Linked DNA regions of Elephas maximus indicus. The protein of the gene in region 2 interacts with the protein of the main gene of each other region in a biochemical or structural test. Links are inferred from orthologs where the notes say so. Each region holds a gene or a part of one and is shown on either strand. Other genes may lie near its edges. The genes, in order: FGF14 and SCN8A.

Region 1 (10,653 bases), on a different chromosome or scaffold from region 2:
GCCAGGCAAAATAAATGCCTTGACTTAGTATTCCCTATTTAATGATTTGCCTAAAATACAGTCACCTTGTATGACTTATGCGGTGAAATTTGAAGCAGGTAACATTTATTCTAAATGCATAGCTACTGCTCCGCTAGCAAAGCAGGGAAAAGTAGGACATTTAATTATGGGTGTGTGTGTGTGTGTGTGTGTGTGTGTGTGTATTCTCTGGTAATAATTGTAACTGAGTTATCAGAAGTTTTTATGAAGATAGCAAATTTACTTTACATCCAGTGATTTTTAAGCTATTGCAATTTACTTTAAAAAGTATATATTGTGCAAATATATTCTTCAAGGTCTTTTCTAGTTAAACTACGTAAAAAACAACTACAAAAAAAAAACCAAATTAACACCTCTTAAGTGGTTTGGAGTTAATTAATAACTTTTGGATGGATGAATAATTTTGCCCTTAAATTCATGACTCTGTTACTTGATTTTTTCATACCAACATGATTATATAGCAGTGCTCTGAAGTTCCTCCCAGGAACCTTGGTCCAAACCACCCATACTTATCCATAATGTAAAGAATTGGGATTAACTGGTAAATTATCCCATAACTTTCAAAGATCGGGGAGAAAAATTAATCTAGCATTTATCGCTGAAATAGTAAGTTGTTTTACATCGAGTTCATGATCACAGTAGTGGTACTTGGCAGTATTCTACCAACTCGCAGTTGGAAACCAGTTAATTGTCACCTTTTTAGACTTATGATAGCATAATAGGTAGCAGTCAATCTGTTCTTTTTGGTTTTAACAGTTAAGAGGAGTTTGGTCTTTGTTGTGTTTTAATTACCCAATCAATTACTGTCTTAGTTGTACTGCTATCTTGGGATCAAAAACCTGCAAACGATTCTAGGTTTCATTTTAATAGGAAAAGGGGAACGGATCTCATCAAGTACAATGCTGAAAGGGGATGGCTAGGTATGGGTTTGATTCAAGCTTGGGAGGCAAAAACGTTTAGAAGGTGAGATAAATTGCCTGACACATTAATGTCCCATTTAAGAAATAGTTACTAAATGTCCCAACTCTCAAGTTAGAATTCTAATCTCTGGCACTCTAAGGCTACACCATTGTATTAGGAAGAGTTGGTGATGTTGTTAGACACACTTTGAATTAACCCATCAATTCACACCCAAGTCCTTTAGTACCCATAAGCTGCAAAATAAATTGCTCTGAGAATAGTTTGTCATTTGTTTGACACCTTCCAAAACGACTTGGAAAAAAAAGAAATCTGCTTTCTTCCAGAGAGATGAAAGTGGGTGGGGTGGGGGAGGTGTAATAAAAAGATCTTGGATCATGTGTAGGGGGAAATTAATGTTTCCAGCAAAACTGTTTACAAAGAAAGAAAGAAAGAAAGCCATAAAGACCAGCAAAAAAACTCACTGTTGTGTGCTGAATTATTTCTCACTCTCCAGGACTATGGAAGGACTGACCTCAAGGTCCCTAGACAAATGGCCAAGCGTAAAAAAAAAAAAAAGTGTTTTTCACAGTATTTCTTTCTCTGAATGAGCTAGATCTCTTCACAGAAAGACTCAAGAAGACTTCCAAAACCAGTATTTCTGTCCTGGGAAGGAGTTACCCCTCCCTTGCAACTGCAACCCCACTTCAGGGAATCTTGAATAAAGGGTCCTCACAGTAAGTTGTAGGATGGCGTTATAGATGGACACCGGGTTTTTATGACCAGCCATCAGCAAGTGCTAGGTCTGATGCCAGGCGTTGGGGTACACCTCACAGCTACACTAGAAATGTGAACGGTAAGGCGGTAACATTGCTCTCTCCTTGAGTAATTCTTAGGCTGAGGGTATCATTTCAGAGTTGCTAATCGCTGACAGTTAAGAAAGAGAAGGGTAAAAGGACAGGGTGCTGGGAAGGAGGAGGGAACAGAGAAGGATGGCTAGGAAGGCGGTGGAGAGGAAAGCTAGACACAAAGGAGAATTCCAGGGCAGAGGCCAAGAGCCCACTGCAGCACGGGGCCCGCGGGCGGCAGAGGCTGCTTCCAGCTCCGGCCGTTGCCAGGCGTCCTCCGCCCGAGCCGGCGAGCTTCGGTCCTTTTGGACGGTCCAACAACTCACAGTTTCCCTTTTGCTGCAGAAGCGGTGGCCGCAAAGGGTGCCCAGGCTTCACACCGCCGCCTGCACCCCGGCCCCCTACACCTCCTCCTCTCCCTCCCGCTGCACCCCGAGGCGGCAGCCCCCACCCAGCGCACCACCGAGCTACGTGGCATTTGCGAGACTCGGAGGATGGGAGGCAGCAGCCACTTGCTGCCCAGTCGCTGGGGCTCCGGGTGCCAGGCGGCCCCGGCTGGGCTCCGGGTGTCAGGGAGCCAGCGGAGAGCTATGATCTACTACACCGCAGTGCCAGCGTCAGGAGCCTCCAGCGCCCGGGCCGCCACTGCAGGACGGCCGCCCGACCGTCCCCTCCCCCAGTACAGCCCCAAACCCCAGCGCTCGGCCCCAGGTCCTCCCCACCCTGGACGCAGCCGGGGGGGCGCCACACGCCGCCCGCTGCCAGTGCGTGCCGGTTCCGGGAAGGCTGCGCCCAGCTCCTCGCCGGCGCCGCCGCCGCCACCACGCAGTCCTCCCGCCTCCCCTCCCCCGGCTTGCTCTCCCACCGCTACGCGGCCGCCCCCAAACGCTTCAGACTGCGATACAGGAAAGTGAGCCCCTGGGATCCGACTCCCCGAATCACCTGTATTTGCATTTCTTATGTAATGTACTCCAAGTTTCCCCTTTGGAGCCCTTTGGAATCGGGGCGCATGATCACCCGCACCCTAAAGCAAGGACTCCCGGGCCCGGAGGCACAGTTTTGATACTGCTTTTTAAAAGGAAAATTTAAATTACACATATTAGAGGGGCTGGACTTGTCTACCCGGTCTGGGTTTCCCTCCGGGCACAAACCCTGCTCCAGTATTCCCAGTAGCAGGACGTGTCAGGGGCAGACCCGGGGAATGAGTTAATACTTGGGCACAGAGAGCCAGACGGGGGAGGGAGGCGGGGGCTGACGGAGGAGCGGGGACACGAGGGAGGGGGCCTCTTTTACTTTGGTAAAGGTGATCGGGGTGGCGAATATTGTGCAAGCTAGCCAGAAAGTCTAGAGCAGATTCCCAGCACCGAGCTATGTCTCCGAACCTGCAGCAGAAGTCAGGAAAACTCCGGTTCTTCTTCCTGCCAACTACCAAAAGCTTCGGCTGTCTGGGGCAGAAACCTTAAGCCATAGCCCTTGAATATTCCACCGAACATAGGCAACCAAATACATTAAAAAAAAAAAAGAAAGAAAGAAAGAAAAGAAAAAGTTTCCTCCTCCCTCCTAGTGATGGATTGTGTCACAGCCAAGAGATGCTGATAATGGTTTTCGGGTTCACAGACGCCCATCCAGCTGTAACTTGATTATTCATGCAACAGCTCTATATGCAACACGGTCCTGGTTCCATTTATGTTTCCCCTGCCTGCCTGCCTGCATAGCAGAACTGCAGAGCTAGCTCCATGAGCAACAGACAGGTTATAATGAGGAAAAACATAACATGAGGCATGTTTTGCTTACCAGTTGGGTTCTTGTTTTTCTTAAGACTCTTGCCACAAAGACACTGCAGCATATGCGTTCCTTTGCTGAAAATGTTCCAAAGAAACCACATGGATTTGGGCGAAAAGCAATCCAGCAGCTTAGACACCCTGAGAAAGAAGAGATCCTTGTGGTTGCATAATAATAATTTGAAATCAGTTCTCCTGAAGAGGGGCGCCGGTTTTACCATAGGAAAAACGGTAATATTCCGGATCTTCTCCCAGTTTTCTCCCCTCACGTGGTATATTTCTTTGAGACTTCTCAGTGATTGTTTTTTTTCGGCCAGGGTGAATGACTTATCCCCCTTGATCACCACTGGATTATTACCGAAGGGTTGGAAAAAAAATCCTTTTTCAGCATGAAGCCAAACAAAAAAGCAAAGAAATCCCAACTGAGGCCAAAACTAATCAGAGAGAACAGTAATGCACAAAAGATCCCCAAAGAGACAACCATAGCCTTTTACTTGGTCGCTGTGAGGATGGGTCCATCTGCAGAAGCCAAAGCAGGACTCATCTTACTGAGAGAAGGCTGCCATTGTGTAGTCCCTAGGAGAGAAGGAAAAAGAAAAAAAGGAGGGGGGAATAAAAGAAAAGAAAAAAGAAAGGGAGAAAGAAAAAAGAAAGAAAAAAAGGGGGGGGGAAGAAAAGCCACCACACACACACACACCAATACCACCTCGGAGACTGAGTCTGACAGCCGAAGACAGAGCCTCCTTTCTCCAAGTGTCGTTTTTTTTTTTTTTTTAATAATCAATCTCCAGTGATGAGTAGGATCGGATTGAACCTGCAGTTCTCAATCCCCACGAAGAAAAGAGGCCAGTCTGGGTGCCCCCTCCCCTTGTTAAGCGGGTAGCAGGCTGGCAGAGAGCGCCACAGACCCCCTTCCTCCTTCCTCTCCCTCGGCCGCTTTCCACCACCGGTGAGCACGAGGAAAATCCCCCTCCGGATCTCGCCAGCCTCGGCTGTGAGTTACAGGCATTAGAGGGAGGAGGAGGAGGAGTTGAAGTTTGCATTGAAAAGACTGGCTTTCCATGACGTAGCCACGTGCTTTCAGACCCGTCACCAGTGAGATGCTCCAACCAGCCCGGGGAGGGCAGCGTCACTGCAGTCTCTGTGCTCCGGGCCTCTCAGGCTCCCCACCCGCCAGCACCCAGCCCAGCCCCAGCGCTCGACCCTCTCCCCTCTTCTGCCAAGCCCGGATCTGCCCGCCGTTTCCTCTTGGAGCCAAACTAACAGAGCCTTCTGCTGAGGCTTTAGAAAGAAAAATTAACAACTATAATCAGTAAACCTTAGAAAATGAATGTTTGGGGGAAAAGAAAGAGAAGCTGGAGTGTAACACCACTCCACATGGCCAAAATTAATTCCACCTTTACATTCTCAAAAGCACCTCGGAAACATTAAGGGAAGTCCTTGCAAGTTCCTTTAATTCTTATTATTTGAATCATACTTTGCTGTGTGGTTTGAAAAATATAAGCTAGGTATATGGCAAATATTTATGTCGATAAACAGCCTGCTTAAAGGGAAACCACTAATATGTTGGGGTCAACTCTATTTTGGTGGGGAGGGTCAGATTCACATGAGAAATATATGCCTTTTCTAGTCCAACTACCCATTGTCTTCAAATATTTTGTACAGAAAGAACTCGGCTTAAATCAAATCCTACTTCATTGCTTGTTTCTGTATCCATTAATTGAACTAGCATTAAACTCACCTTCGTTTACTTCTCATTTATGTCAATATTGCAACCTTGTTGTCTGCCAATAGCCTAACAAAATTTTCACCAACATCCATTTTACTGCTTTCCCCCCAAATTAAAGGATTTCGGGCCGAGTTACTGGTTTATTTTATTTGGGAAAAATTACAATGCATACGGTCATGCAAACTATTACAAAAAGTATTGTAATTAACTCCAGCATATCTAAACTCAAAATTATTAAACACCAGCACTGTTGTGAGCCAATGGTTTTGGAGAAGCAGTGGTGACCATTCTCACTCACTCTGGGTGAATGAATTAAAGTTATACCAGCATTCTTCCATTTTTATGGGAAAACTGGAAGAAAATTTTAACTCTCATTTAAAATATATTTTAGAAAGTCCATCTGAATTACAAATCTTAAAAGCGCTGCCTCTTCTACATGGCATATCATACCACTCTATAATAGATGTAGCTGTAGATTTACGTTGTTGGAGACTGAGAGAAGAGAATAATTTTAAAGAAAAGTAACTCCTTGATTATCAGATGTTAAAAAATGAAAATGTAATTAACAACTTTCCTATCGATGGCTTTTTCTAGTATTTAAAAAGCATGCTGAACTTCTAATGTCGATGGTCTTGATGTGCCAAAAGACTTGTGCCAACCAAAAAAACCTTAAAAACCTGTTTCAGTCAATTCCGACTCATCACAACCATATAGGACAGAGTAGAACTGCCCCATAGAGTTTCCAAGGAGCACCTGGTGGATTTGGACTGCTGACCTTTTTGGTTAGCAGCCCTAGCTCTTAATCACTACACCACCAGGGTTTCGAACAGTTCAAAGAAATTACTAAAATTCACTGCAGTCTGATTAAAGTTTGGGAAGTAAAGAAAGAAGGAATGCTGAGAATATATGACTTTAATGCCAAATGACTTCCCAATAAGAAGTGGACTGAATAAAAAAAATGACCAGAATTATTTTCTGAAAGATGAAAAATAGAATACCATTACCAAATAATTAGGGAAAGAATTTGTATATCAATCAATCAGGGACAATTACCATATGCCGCTTCTATAACATTCTGGTGTCCTGTAGGGGATTCCAGAATATCCCAGCATATTACTTCTGAACATATACATATGCCAGAGAAACAGTTGAATAAAAATTATTCCCCTGTTCAGGTCTTCTGAACTGTATCCACCCAGCTCTGGGGTTCTGTGAGCCTTGTTGAGTTGCCTGATGTATTTCACCTGAGTAAAGCTTTAAATCATGTTCTATAAGTATTGGGTCTTTTTATATGCTAAATTTATCCAAAGACACTATTTCTTAGTCAAATTATTCTTGCATTCCCAAATTCTTGTCTCATTTCTACATTGTGAAAATGAATAAGTTGCCTATTAAAATAATGAATGAGTGCCAGAAAGCTATGGTTTGTTTTGTAGTATACTGGTGGAAAACTTATTTCCTCTTTGTCCTGTAACCTACAGAACATAAGCAATAATTAACTGTGACTACTATTTATTGAGAAGCTTTTGTGCCAGGCACTGCATTAGTTGATTCTTATTTTTTATACCACTTAAAGGAAAGAGAAAAATTTTATTGCAATGCGCAAAAATTTCCTTTTATATACCTACTGGGAAAATCCTGGAGGCGTAGTGGTTAAGTGCTACGGCTGCTAACCAAAGGGTTGGCAGTTCAAATCCGCCAGGCACTCCTTGGAAACTCTATGGGGCAGTTCTACTCTGTTCTATAGGGTCACTATGAGTCGGAATCAACTCGATGGCACTGGGTCTGGTCTGGGTCATATTTAAGAGAAAAATTTAGGTATGTTTTGTAGGCTATTATTCACATTATTAAAGTAATATTTCAGTCCAGAAAAGGTGTGTAACACCAATTCCGGTTACCTTTGGTTCAGAGGACCTACAATTTCTCATGGGTTCTAAGTGGCCCAGTTCACTTATTCAATTAATATTTATTAAGCTTTCTACCATGTGAAGGTAGGAGCCCCGGAAGTGCAGTGGTTAACCCTTTGCTGTCAGTGGATTCTGACTTATAAGGACCCTATAGGACAGAATAAAGGTAGGGTTTTTACTAGGGATAGAAAAAGAACACCAACTTGTATACAAGGACCTCACTGTCTATATTTACCTCTTTTAAAAAGATGAAATCTTTTGTTTCTGACACACGTATTCCTTTTCTATAGTGGCCCTATAGGTCAGAGTAGAACTGCCATAAAGGTTGGCCATTTGAAGGCAGGAGCCACTCCTTGGAAATGCTATGGGGCAGTTCTACCCTGTCCTATAGGGTCACTATGAGCTGGAATCGACTCAACAGCAATGGGTTTGTTTTTTTTTTTTTTTTTAATGTGATGGTAACTGTATGAGATTTCATGCTAGACATTAAGATGTATCAGTCATAGTTACACAATAAAGAAGATCAAGGGTGGTGTAGAGCCAACCCTAGTTTCTGGGGCCTCCAGATTAGGGATGGTCCAAAGGTACTTGTATTTACACCAACCTGAGTTCCAGACAGTCAATCAGGTTTTGTTTGGGAAGACATTAAAACGTTTGCTTACCCTTTGCCATGACACATTCAAATCAATATTAGATGACAGAAATGAAAACAATTAAAAAGTAAATGCAAGTTTTAGAATGGACGAAAGTAAAAATAGGATCAGGAAAGCCTCATGGTAACCATACAAATTGACAGTAAAATTTGTAGTGTATATAAGTAGAAAAATATATAAGACTGCATTTTCACGGGCTAAAATAAAATAAACTCATAATCACATTAATTTAAAAATTAAAATTATCTTCATATGCAAGTAAACCAAGCTAGAAATAAGTGTAATGACTAGAACTTCATGAAACAATAGAACATACATTTTATTTTAAAATAGGAAATGTGAACTCTAATGAGATTAGCCATCAAAAATCTTTGAAACTATCTTAGCATGCTCCAATTGTCCCCAATTCTTACTCCTCCTTTCTTCCTTTAGTAGTAAAACACTATCCCACCACAGCTGGAAGAGCAAGAACTTGGGTTCTAAGGTAGAGAATATCATTCCCATCTTCCATGGTAGCTAAGTGTGGCCATGTGACTAAATTATGACCAGCGAGATGTAGCAGAAGTGATATGTTCAACTTCCTGGCCACATTCTTCAGAGGAAGTTGCTTGCCTATCGCTTCTCTCTTTCATCCTTCCTGTGAGCTGGAAATTACTGGGATTGACAGCGTGGACAGAAACACAAACTCAGAAACTGTGAAGTGTCAAGATAGGAGAAACCTAGGACCTTGGACAGAGCCATCCCTTATCCTGGACTGCCCACCTACCTGTGGACTACTATGTGACAGGGAAATAAGCTTGTATCTTAGTTGATCCTCTGTATTTTTGTCTGAACTTGATACAACGGTTCATCCTCTCCACTATCTTATATACTGGCCTGGTATTAATAACATACTTGTATCTCGGTTTTTTTTTACTTATTTTAAAAGGATATAACTTATAACCCACAGCTTTGGGGGCAGTGACGGTTCAGTGGTAGAATTCTCGCCTTCCATGCAGGAGACCAGGTTTAATCCAGTGTGATTTCCACCTCATGTGCAGCCAGCACTCATCTCTCAGTGGAGTCTTGCAGATTGCTATGATTCTGAACAGATTCCAGCAAAGCTTCCAGACTAGGACAGACTAGAAAGAAAGGCCTGGCCATCTACTTCTGAAAATCCTATGGATGGAAACCCTATGGATCACAACGGTCTGATCCCCAACCAACCATGAGGATGGCGCAGGACTGGGCAGTATTTCTTTCCATTGTGTGTGGGGTCGCCATAAGTCCAAACCATAAAAACCAAGCCCATTGCCATCAAGTGGATTCTGACTTATAATGACCCTATAGGACAGAGTAGAACGGCCCCGTACGGTTTGGACTATAGAAATACAAAAAGAAGACCAACTTGTATACAAGGACCTCAGTGTCTATATTTAACTCGTTTAAAAAAGATGAAAACTTTTGTTTCTGGCACACACATTCCTTCTCTATAGTGACCCCATAGGTCAGAGTAGAACTGCTGCAAAACTGCCACAGAGGGTTTCCAAGAAGCAGCTGGTGGATTTGAACTCCAACCTTTTGATTAGCAGCTGTAGCTCTTAACCACTACGCCACCAGGATTTCCATTCTTCTCTACAACTGGTGCTAATTATTATCACTTTTTGAGGAGCAAATCTAAATTTCACATCACTATTTTTTTATACTGCTTTCTCTCCCTGTTGCAACGTTGACTGACCCGTAGCACAGAAAACCTCTGCTCCTCTCTCCTGGAAGGAACAGTCTGGGAAGGTAAGTGTAGCCCTTTTCTCTTCCCCCTGCCAACTTCTCAAGACAGCAGGAATTAACTGAGGTGGCCCAGCCCCTCTTCTCTTTGTCATCTGCCTGCTTTTTCTCTACATGGGAAGAGTTGGGTTAGGCACAGTACCCAAGGCCTGCCTTCGAGAAGCAGATGAGAAGAGCAATCTCTCTCCGACCCTTTATTGGGGCTGGTAGCAGACATCTTCAATGCCCCACACATACACTTTTATCTACCCTATCAGTGTGCTCTGATCAGTATCTCCATCTCTGAACCTGAGGGATTTTTTCGTCCAAACAACCCTATGCCCAGGCACTCACAGAGGCCAGAAAGACCTGGAAATTAACATTCCCTGGGAGAATTCCTCAATGACTAAAGGCCCTGCGTTCCTTGCCCCTTGGGAGGGGTAATTAGGAGGCATGTGTTTTACATCCTTTCCCGGTTTCCCTGAGGGATTAAAATACAGTCTCCCACTGGGTTAGCTGCCTAAACAACACATTCTCTGTTGGCTCTCTCCCCTTGCTTGTATCAATTCCCTACTGCCTTAGTTTCTTAGTGCTGCTGTAACAGGGCACTGGCTCTAGGGGGAGGCTTTATCTCTCTGTAGGCTCTGGGGGAAGGTCCTTGGCTCTTTTCAGTTTCTGTTCCTCAGTTCCTTGGCCATTTTCAAGAGTTGTGTCATCTGTCTTCCCCCATCTGTGCTTGCTTTCTTCTGGGACTAATCTGTTCTTTTTATATCTCAAAAGTGATTAGTTTCAAACATACCCTACACTTTGTCATTAAGGTAACAAAGAAAACCCTATTCCCAAAAGAGTTTACATTAACAGATATAAAATTAAAAAAAAAAAAAGAACCCTGTTGCCATCTAGTTGATTTCAACTCATAGCAACCCTATAGGACAGAACAGAACTGTCCCATAGGGTGTCCAAGGAGCAGCTGGTGGATTTGAACTGCTGACCTTTTGGTTAGCAGCCGAATGCTTAACCACTGCGCCACCAGGGCTCCAACAAGTATAGAGGTTA
Region 2 (10,805 bases):
AGAAGTAGGTGCAAAGTGACACTATTTGGTGATTCAGTGATTAAGTTTTTTTTTTTTTTTATTTCACTAGTTAAGTTGCTAAATTTAAATTTTACGAATTCAATTTATGGAGTCCAATTCTATGAATGAATTCTGTGACATTAAAGATGGTTGTTTTGGAAAATTTTTTTAAAGGATTAAGAAAAAAGTAAATGGATGCAAAATAATCTATTGTTTAAGACCCAAAACAATTAACTAGTGGACTATGAGCTTAAGAGTTTAAAAGGCTCTGTTTTAAAATACTGTCTTTCTGAATAACTTGTTGCAAGTGCTTCTTGTCCTCTCTATGGCAAAAAAGACTGAAGAAATACAACAAAACATGAACAACTGCTTTGGTTAGGACGGATAATACTAAGGATGACTCCCTCTGTTTTTAGACACATTAAAAATTTTCTGAAGTATATGTTATTTTTATAAAAAATATGGTAACTGATCTCACACTAGATAAACTTTGTTATTTTTAACACTTTGTATGCAAACCAAAAAAATGGAAACCCTGGTGGCATAGTGGTTAAGTGCTATGGCTGCTAACCAAAGAGCCAGCAGTTCGAATCCGCCAGGCGCTCCTTGGGAACTCTATGGGGCAGTTCTACTCTGTCCTACAGGGTCGCTATAAGTCGGAATCAACTCAACGGCAGGGGGTTTGGTTTTTTTGGTTTTGTTAGATATAATCTACAGAAATTAAATATTAATTCATGTGTGTGCCTTCCAGAACAACTTGTTACATAATATCAGTACATTAAAGACATTGTCTTCCATTCATGGAATGTTTTTCCTGCTTTTAGGTGGGCATGTCTCTTTGCATTCTCTTCAAGCAGGTGTGGGTTTCTTGTGTAATCTCTACAGAACATCAATTCTCAACCTTTTCCTGGTAATCGTCACAAGAATGACATTTGCCCCTGGTATAGCCCCAACTGATATGTCTTTTAACTTCATGTTAAATGAGATTAAAGTGCTTCGATCACAGTGGACCCCAAATGGAATGATCCGTCTTATGTGGTAGTGACTTCCCTCTCGGTGGAAATATTCAAAGCAGAAATTTCCTATAGAAGGGATTCCTGTGCTGGGTGGGTGGTTGTACAAGCTCAATTTTACAGCCCCCCTTTCTATGATTTTAAAAGAAATTTTGTGACAAATCTACTTTTATGATACAATGGATCACACACTGGCCTCTTATATGAGCCTCTTTCCCAGCTCACTGTTCAAATCAACCCAGGAAAGATGCCCTTCTGATCCCAGCTTAATTTAGCGAGCTAATTATAATTACTTCTTCATGGGGAAAAAATTCCCATAATATTAACAGTTTCCTGCTATTTGAAGTTATTGAAATGTGCTGAAATAATGCTGTCAGCAAAATGTCATTGTATGACTTACATATGGATCTGCTGCAGTCTGCAAAACATTGTCTCCATGAGGGACAGCCAAAATGAAGTTATGTGGGAGTAATAAAATATGATAACTATGCCTTCAACCACAAATACAAACCCAAGTGCGCATGCACACACACACACATCCACAGGAAAATCTGCGGGTAATAAAAACAAAGGAAAACCCAGATCAAGTCCAACACTGAGCACCTCACCACAGTGCTAACCAGGGAACTGTCCGTTCAGCACTACGGCCAGAAACCCTAGCACGAGCCTAAGCACAGGCATCCACAGCTGGGCCACGAGAACATTTTGCAAAGGGTCCCAAAAGGAAAGCTGCAAGCAATTGCATGGCTGTTTCAGTATGCCATATTCCACTTCATTGGCCTTTATTAACTTAAAGTAAAATCTCCCAAATATTTTATTGAAAGTCGACAAAACCCCAAATAAGAACCAAAGACATATTAAGTCAGCCTCTTTTCTCAAACTGAACCCAGGAAACCAATAACTGACCTGCAACATCAAGATTTGCTTTGCAATACCCACAACTAAGAAACATAGCATATTTATATACACCATGAATCAGATGTTCAGAGAACACAGAACATGCTTGCAGCCCTCTCCAAGGAGAGCTTTAATTTCTAGGACAGAGAATGCTTGCTGCACACCAAACCACCATTACCACCTCCCTCTCAAGCAATCAAATCCTCTTTCAGAGAGAACTGAAGGCCTTATGGGTCATGAGTTCCAAAGAAAAAATGCTGCAGTATTTCAAGAACCAGGTTACAGGCAATGTGCTACAAAGCTTTCAGCATTTTAAGTCTTATTCTCCTGAGATTCCTGACAGGGTGGTACCAGGTGGTAATGTTATCCAGCCATTTGCATTACACATCGGAAAAAAAAAGTTAATGAGTGGGGTAAAGCCCCCTTCATATCTGCTAACACACATGGAGAAAAGAGAAGTACAGAGATTGTGAGACAGTGAAAAGCCTACCTGGAATCCCCTTGGAAAGCTAAAATATTCCCCAGCCCTGACACACACTTAACTCTCTAAAGGCTCTCCAGGTTCAAACTTGAGAAAACAGTTATAAAAAGCACTCTCTCCCTTTGCCCCCAAAGCCCTCATCCACACTTTGTGCTTCATCCCCGTTTCTCTGGTGCCCACTGTGTGTTAAAAACAGTTCTCCTTGTATGGTTGGGCTCGATCCGTAGTAATTATCTCTCCCCCCTCTGAATTTTTTTTTGCCTCTGAATTTAGCCAGATGCAACTGCAAAGTTTCTTCTATTTCCCCCACCTCCCAAAAAACAGATGACATCCTCTTATTACGAACACTTATGCCGAATGTTGGAACCTCCGGAAGGAAAATGTATTCTTCTCCCATGCTTCAAAAACTGCAGTGTAAGTGAAGATGAGGGCATAGGGTGGAGTAGTTGGAAGGAATGCATGATTTGAATAATTACATTTATCAGGCTGAAAAACGACTCCCACTCCACCCCTCCTCAAAGCTAGGGCCCCTGAAGGGGTCCCAAAGTCCTCGCTAACCCCCGCCCCCCGAAAGTTAACTGCAAGTCTCCACCGGTGGTTGCTGCTGGCATTGAGGGGATAGAGCAAAGCTCTCAGGCAAAATGCAGAGACTTTGCGGTCCCCCAAGATTCCAAGAGAGGACTAGAGAGGAGGGGTCGAAGCCCGTGGAGCTGGACAAACAGTCCTGTAACCCTAACGCTAACAAGAAGCCCAGAGTGCTCCTGCTGCTGCTGCTGCTGCTGCTGCTGCTGGTAGGTGGGGGATGGAAGGGAGAGAGGAGGAGGGGAATAAGCTCCGCATCGGGTGGCGTAGGGGTGGGGGTGGGGGTGGGGGAAGGGGATATTCTGAAAGTGTATGTATTCTATAATGCAGGAATCCTGGCCTGCCGAGGAAGGTCCCGGGGCGGGGGGGCCCCAACATAGCCCCCGAGCATCCTGCTGGGCGGGGGACGGGCGCATCCGAGTAAAGGACGGGGGACTCCTGGTTGCCCATAGAACCCAGGAGCCCCTGGCTTCTGCAGCTGCTAACAATCTGGAGCCGAATGAGGGAGATGGATGCAGTAAGACATGGGGGAAGGGACAGAGCTGAGAGGCTGCTGTAAGAACATTCTGACAGCGCTGCCCTTCCCGATGCAGCCCCTCGGCACTGGGGGCTGGGCTGGGGGTTGCAGCACCGAGGGGCGCCGAAGCCAGGCCCGTGCCCCCCAGTGTAGTCGAGACAAGAAGAGAGCGAGGACTTACAGGGAATGGGGGCTGGTGGTCCTCAGTTATCCTAAGGGGTCCCCGGTAAAAAAGGTAGAGGGAGACCAAGGCTTCCAAACACCTGTCCAAAACAGGGAGGGCAGAAAGCCGATGGCCCTCCGAGCCCCGCCGCGCACTCTGCGGCAGAGCCCCTGACTAGAGGTGGGCGAGACCGGCTCAGGGGTCCCGGGGCGAGAAGGGGAAGCCGGCAGGCGAGGAGCAGCGCCGGGGCAGGGGCTCCGGGGTGACTTACGGCAGCTGCGGCGAGGGAGGCAGCGGCGGCCCTAGCGCGGGGCCCGGGAGGTGCAGCCGGACTGCAGAGGCGCCGGGGCTGCGGCGAGCGGGACTGCGGTGGGCGCCATCTTGGAGCGCTCCCCGCGCCCGCCCCCCGCGCCGCCCGAGTCCTTGCATAATTGATGACTCGCGCCCGCCGCGCGCCACCGCGCGCGCACCCCGCCCTCCGGGCCCCCCGCCCGCCCGCCCGCTCCGCCCCCGCGCGGTGGACCCTCCGTGCGCGCCCCCTGCTCGCCCCGGCCCCCGCCCGCGCGCTCACCGCCCCCGCCCGCGCCCCCGGGGCCCACCTACCCCAGCGGGGCGCGTCCGCTCGTCCGCAGCGGAGAGCGCCGCCGGTCCACCCGCTCGCAGGCTCTCAGGCCGGCGTCCCCGCGCCGCCAGGACCGGATCCGGGGCGAGGGAGCAGGGCACCAGCAGGGGGCGCCGCGCTGGAGCGCCTGGCGAGCGTCCCCGGGCCCGCCTCCCTGACGCCCCCGCCGAGCCGCGCGGGAGGGGCTCCGGGACTGAGGGCCGGCCGGCACGTGGCTGCGAGACGCCGGCGGTTGGTCTGCCGGCACCTGGGCGTTTAAAACAAAAAGGTGTTATGTTGATTCGTAAGCTCTGTGACCCTTGTAAATGCCAAATATTACCTTTTTCCTGAATAGCACTCACAGAAGGAAATGCCCAGTACTATTGGCAATGCTCAGTTGTTGGAGTTTCTGACTTCTGTAAACACCAGGGACTCATTTTGCATGATCTTTAACCAAGTAAAAGACACAGAAGTCTATCAAGAGCAGTTGGAGGCTTATGATTCAGTGGACAGGACCCCGGTATGAGGATTTGGGAGACACTGCTTCCATGCCCAGCCCTGATAGCCGCCGGGTCTGAAATGTGTAAACCAAAAACCAAACCCATTGCCGTCCGGTAGATTCTGACTCGTAGCGACCCTATAGGACAGAGTAGAACTGCCGTATAAGGTTTCCAAGGAGCACCTGGTGGATTCGAACTTCCAACCTTTTGGTTAGCAGCCATGGCTCTTAATCACTACGCCACCAGGGTTTCCTGAAGTTGTGTTGAGGTCGCCTTAATCTTTTTGAACCTCAGTTTGTGCATCTCTAAAGTAGGCACAGGAAACCCTGGTGGCGTAGTGATAAGTGCTATGGCTGCAAAAGGTACACAGTTCGAATTCACCAGGAGCCTCTTGGAAACTCTATGGAACAAGGACTTAAACTATTTCACACTCTTAGGACCAAAACCAAACCCACTGCTGTCGAATCGATTCCGACTCATAGTGACCCTGTAAGGCAGGGTAGAAGTGCCCCATAGAGTTTCCAAGGAGCACCTGGCAGGTTCGAACTCCTGACCTTTTGATTAGCAGCTGTAGCACTTAACCACTACGCTACCAGGCTTTCCCATGCTTAGGAGGATCTAGATAAATTAATGTGAGAACTCTTAGCACTTTATTGTGTCTCTCTTCTACATGATGTTTCTTTCTATCACAAATTCACAGTTAAGAGTGTAAGAGCCGTCAGGCTACAACTTACTAACTGGTTAGCCTTGGACATGTAACAACCTAAGCATTCTTACCTGTAAAAAGGAACAACCACAGTACCAACCTGATGGGTTTATTATGAGGATAACTGTCCATCCCATGCTTATAACAACTCCTGCAACAAGATGTGCCTACCACGTAGTGAGCCCACTGCACACATTTTAATAGCTTTATTGAAATACAATTAACATGCAACAAACTGCACATATTTAGAACATACAGTTTTTACATACGTATACATGTGTGAAGCTATCATCATGATCAAAGTAAGAAAACATTTCCGTTACCTCCAAAAGTTTCTCTTGCCCCTTGGTTATCCCTTCCTGATCACCCTTCCTCACACACTCCTCCAGGCAACCTCTCATCTTCTATTACTGTACATTCGTTTGCATTTCCCAAAACTTTGAATAAAATGGAGTCACACAGTATGTACTCTCTCTTGTGTGGCTTCTTCCATTCAGCATAATTATTTTGAGATTATTTGGTTGTTGCCTATCAGTATTTCATTCCTTTTTGTTGCTGAGTAGTATTCTGTTATAGATACCACAATTGGTTTATCCATTCACCTGTTGATGACATTTACCTTATATCCAGTTTGTGGCTATTACAAGGAAACCCTGGTGACGTAGTGGTTAAGAGTTCAGCTGCTAACCAAAAGGTCGGCAGTTCTAATCTACCATGCACTCCTTGCAAACCCTATGGGGCAGTTCTACTTTGTCCTGTAGGGTTGCTATGAGTCGGAATCTCCACCGCAACAGGTTCAGGGGCTATCACAAATAAGGCTGCTAGGAACAGTTGCGTGCAAGTCTTTGTACAGACATATGCTTTTATTTCTCTAGGGTTAAGATATCTAGGAGTGGGATGACATGACTGGGTCTATTGTAGATGTATATTTAACATATTAATCGCTGAACTGCTTTCCCAAGTGGTTGTGCCACTAGCAGTGTATGTGAGTTTCCCTTGTTCCACATCCTCGCCAACATTTGGTATGGTCAGTTTTTTAATTTTAGCCATTCTAATAAGTCTGTGGAGTCCCTGGGTGGTGCAAACAGTGAAGCATGTGGCTGCTAATTGAAAGGTTGGCTATTCAAGTCTACCTAGAGGCTCCTCAGAACAAAGTCCTGGTAATCTAATTCTGAAAAATCAATCATTGAAAACCCTTCGGAGCATAATTCTACTCTGAAACACATGGGGTCACCATGAGTCAGAATCTACTCAAGGGCAACTGGCTTTTTAAAATATAGGTATGTATTATTATCCTGTCGTGGTTTTGATTGGCTTTTTTGCCATCTGTAAAGCCTCTTGGGTGAAGTGTCTGTTCTTTTCCTGCTTTTTAAAATTTGGTTGTTTCTTTTGTTATTATTGAGTTGTGAGAGTGTTTATGTATTCTGGATACACATCTTTTATCAGATATGTTATTTGCAAATGCTGTTTCCCAGTCTGGGCTTGTCTTTTTATTCTCTTAACACTGTCAGATATCAGAAGTTCTTAATTTTTATGACGTCCAATTTATTAATTTTTTCTTCAATGGGTGATGCTTTTGTTGTTGTATCTAGGAAATTTTTGCCTAACCCAAGATTACAAATATTTTTCCTATGTTTTCTTCTAGAAGTTTTAAGTTTTATATTTAGCTTTATAATGCATTTTGAATTAATTTTTATATATGGTGTGAGGTATAGTTTGAAGTTTTTTTTTTTTCCCCTGCATGGATATCTAGTTGTTCTCACACTGTTTGTTGAAAAAACTATCATTTTTTCCACTGATTACCCTTGTACTTCTGCCAAAAATCAATTAACCATGTATGTAAAGGTCTATTTCTAGACTCTCTATTCTGTTTCATTGATCTCTTTGTCTGTCTTGACACTAATACCACCCTGTCTTGATTACTCTAGCTTTATAATAAATTGTCAAGTCAGAAAGTTTAAGCCTTCCAACTTTGTTCTTCTTTTTCATTATTGATTTTGCTATTCTAGGTCTTTTGCATTTCCATATGAATTTAAGAATCAGTTTGTCAGATTCCACAAAAAAGCCTGCTGGAATTTTGATCAAGATTGCATTGAATTTATAGATCAGTTTGAGGAGAACTGACATCTTAACAAAATCGAACCTTCTGTTCTATGAACATAGTATTTCACTTCATTTATTTCAGTTTTCTTCTCTCAATGCTGTTTTGTAATTTTCAGGATACTGTTTTAGTTTTTAGGACTTCCACAACAAAATACCACAAAGTGGGAGGCTTTAAAGAACAGAAACTAATTTTCTCATAGTTCTGGAGGCTAGAAGCCCAAATCAGGGTATTACCCATGTCAATTCCTCCTGAGGACTTTGAGAGAAAAGCTATCCTACGCCTCTCTCCTAACTGCCGGCAGTCCTGTGTGTCCCCTTGCTGCTTATAGATGTACCTGCCTTCATTGCCATATGGCGTCTGTCTTGCCCCAATGTAACTCTCCATGTCTGTTCTCTCCTTTTATAAGACACTACTCAGAAAGGATTAGAACTAGGACCCATCCTACTCCAGCATGACTTAACTGATAATATCCTCAAAGAAAGACCCTATCTCCCCAAACATTGACATTCACAGATACAGGTTTAGGACTTCGACATATCTTTGTGGGGCAGGGGAGGGCATAATTCAATCCATAATACAGGTCTTGCCCATCTTTTGTGGTATTTATTCCTAAATATTTCATATTTTTATGCTATTGCATGTTGTTGTTGTTAGGTGCCATTAAGTCAGTTCTGATTCATAGCAACCCTATATACAGCAGAACGAAACACTGCCTAGTCCTGCACCATCCTCACAATTGTCGCTATCTTTGAGCCCATTGTTGCAGCCATTTGTGTCAATCCATCTCATTGAGGGACTTCCTCTTTTTCGCTGACCCTCTATTCTACCAAGGTATAGGTTGTTGTCTTTCTCCGGGGATTGGTCTCTCCTGATAACATGTCCTAAGTACGTGACATAAAGTCTTGCCATCCTTGCTTCTAAGGCATTCTGGCTGTATTTCTTCCAAGACAGATTTTTTTGTCCTTCTGGCAGTCCATGATGTATTCAATATTCTTGCCAACACCATAATTCAAAGGCATCAATTCTTCTTCAGTCTTACTTATTCGTTGTCCAGCTTTAGCGTGCTTATGAGGGGATTGAAAATACCATGGCTTAAGCTATTGCATAGTATTTGTCTTAGTCATTTCATGCTGCTATAACAGAAATACCACAAATGCATTGCTTCAACAAAGAGAAATTTATTCTCTCACAGTAAAGTAGGCTAAAAGTCCAAACTCAGTGCGTCAGCTCGATGGGAACTGTTTATTAGCTCTGGAGGAAGGTCCTCATCCACAATCTTCCCATAGTTGAGGAGTTTCTCGGGCGCAGGGACCCCAGGTCCAAAGGATGCTCTCAGCTCCTGACATTGCTTCCTTGGTGGTATGAGGTCCCCCTGACTCTCTGCTCACTTCTTTCTTTTGTATCTCAAAAGATTGCCTCAAGACACAATCCAATCTTGTAGGTTGAGTCCTGCCTCACTAACACAGCTGCTGCCCGTCCTCCCTCATTGACACCATAGAGTCAGGATTTACAACATATAGGAAAATCACACAATACGGGGAATCATGGCCCAGCCCAATTGATACACACATTTGGGGGGAACATAATTCAATCCATGACATTATTTTTATATTTCAACTTCCAGTGGTCCCTTGGTAGTATATAAAAAAACCATTGCCATCAAGTCAATTGCAACTCACAGCAACCCTATGGTAGTATATAGAAATACAATTAATTTTGGTATATTGGTCTTGTATCTGCAGCTTTGGTGAATTTATTTATTAGTTCTAGTTTGTTTTTTTGTTGATCCCTTAAGATTTTCTACATAGACCATGTTATCTGCAGATAAACAGTTTTCTTTCTTCTTCTTCAATCTGCATGCCTCTTACTCCTTTTTCTTGCCTGTTGTACTGGCTAGAACCTTCAGTACAACGTTGAATAGAAGTGGCGAAAACAGACATCTTTGTTTTGCTCCTGACCTTAGGGGAAAGTTTCCCATTTTTCACCATTAAAATGGCAGGAATAGTAATAGTAGCATCACCAGAACCTGTCTAACTCCAGGGGGGATAATGAGAATCAAGATCAACCCAAGGCTGATCCCTTATGAAGTAGAGGTCAGACATACCTCTACTCTCCAAGCTTTTTACAAATTCTGACACCAGCTGTCCCTCCCATGGCACTCTAGTTCTCTTCTGGGTTTCATAATCCGTTGCAACAGCCACACAGAACTCACAGACCATACTTACAGTTAAGTGGTTTATTAAGTAAGTAACACGGTGCAGCTCAGGATCAGGATCAATAGGCTACAACTCAGATTCAGGAAGCATGTAGGCAAAGTCTCCCTTCTTCAGTTCATGACAGTTCTCTCAGCTACTCTAGGCAGGCTTCTCTCAGCCCACTCAGGACAGGCTTTCTCTCTGCCCCCTGAGGACAGGCTCCTCTTGGCCCCCTCAGGACAGGCTCCTTTTGGCCCTGCCATCTGTTCTTGCCAGCTCTGTGTCTCTGGGCCCATTCTGGGCCTGTTGCCACTGGCTCTGCTGCTGAGCCACTTCTGAGCCTCTCACCGTCTTCAGTGTTACAGCCCTCGACAGATGTTATAGTCCTTTAGAAGGTTCCTTGACTCCTCTCTTTTTCTGCTTCTTTTCTCTTCCTTTTGCTTCTCTTGCTGCTTCTTTCTGTCTGAAAAACCTCTGTTGGGTTGGCTGCATATATACACAACTCTTTGCCAATTTCAAGGCATGGCCCCGCCCAGCAGGGGGCCACAAACTGACCAATCCCCTCTCAGTAGGCCACAGATACTTCATTTGCATAGTAGGCTACAAGTACTTAATTTGCATAGTCTATTGACCAGTTCCTGCAAGGTGCTTACCAATCACAGGGCAGGGTGCCGCCCAGGACCATACAAAATGTATCAACCCACAAGTTGTTTACAGCTTATGCAGGAAATGTCAATCAACCTGGACAAAAGTAACAAATGCTCTGGGGTAGAAAACTAGAGCAAAGGTAACTTCTCCGGGCTTAGGGGAAAAATTTCTCAAGCTGTTTTTCCAAAGAATTAAGGCAAAAGACCACCTAAAGGAACTCATTTCACCACAAGCATGATGTTAACTATATAGGCTTTCCTAGATACACTTTATCATGTTGAAGAAAGTCTCTTCTGTACCTACTTTGCTGAAGGGTTGTTTGTTTTAATCAGGAGTGGATTGAATTTTGTCAAATGCTTTTTTCTGCATGTGGGGTTTTTTTAGTCTGTTAGTATGGT

What was found.
Region 1: the proteins of SCN8A (region 2) and FGF14 form a complex in vitro, tested with the Homo sapiens proteins (2 studies listed by BioGRID). The link is inferred for Elephas maximus indicus from reciprocal best matches to the Homo sapiens genes SCN8A and FGF14.

What each region holds. Positions count from the first base shown.
Region 1 is NC_064841.1:67,319,736-67,330,388, forward strand, and holds the start of FGF14 (fibroblast growth factor 14), read right to left. Parts: upstream 4,489-10,653; 5' UTR 3,787-4,488; coding exon 3,579-3,786; intron 1-3,578. UniProt on the Homo sapiens protein: Probably involved in nervous system development and function.
Region 2 is NC_064822.1:106,989,616-107,000,420, reverse strand, and holds the start of SCN8A (sodium channel protein type 8 subunit alpha), read right to left. Parts: upstream 4,354-10,805; 5' UTR 4,257-4,353; intron 4,056-4,256; exon of another isoform or gene 3,925-4,055; intron 1-3,924. UniProt on the Homo sapiens protein: Pore-forming subunit of a voltage-gated sodium channel complex assuming opened or closed conformations in response to the voltage difference across membranes and through which sodium ions selectively pass along their electrochemical gradient.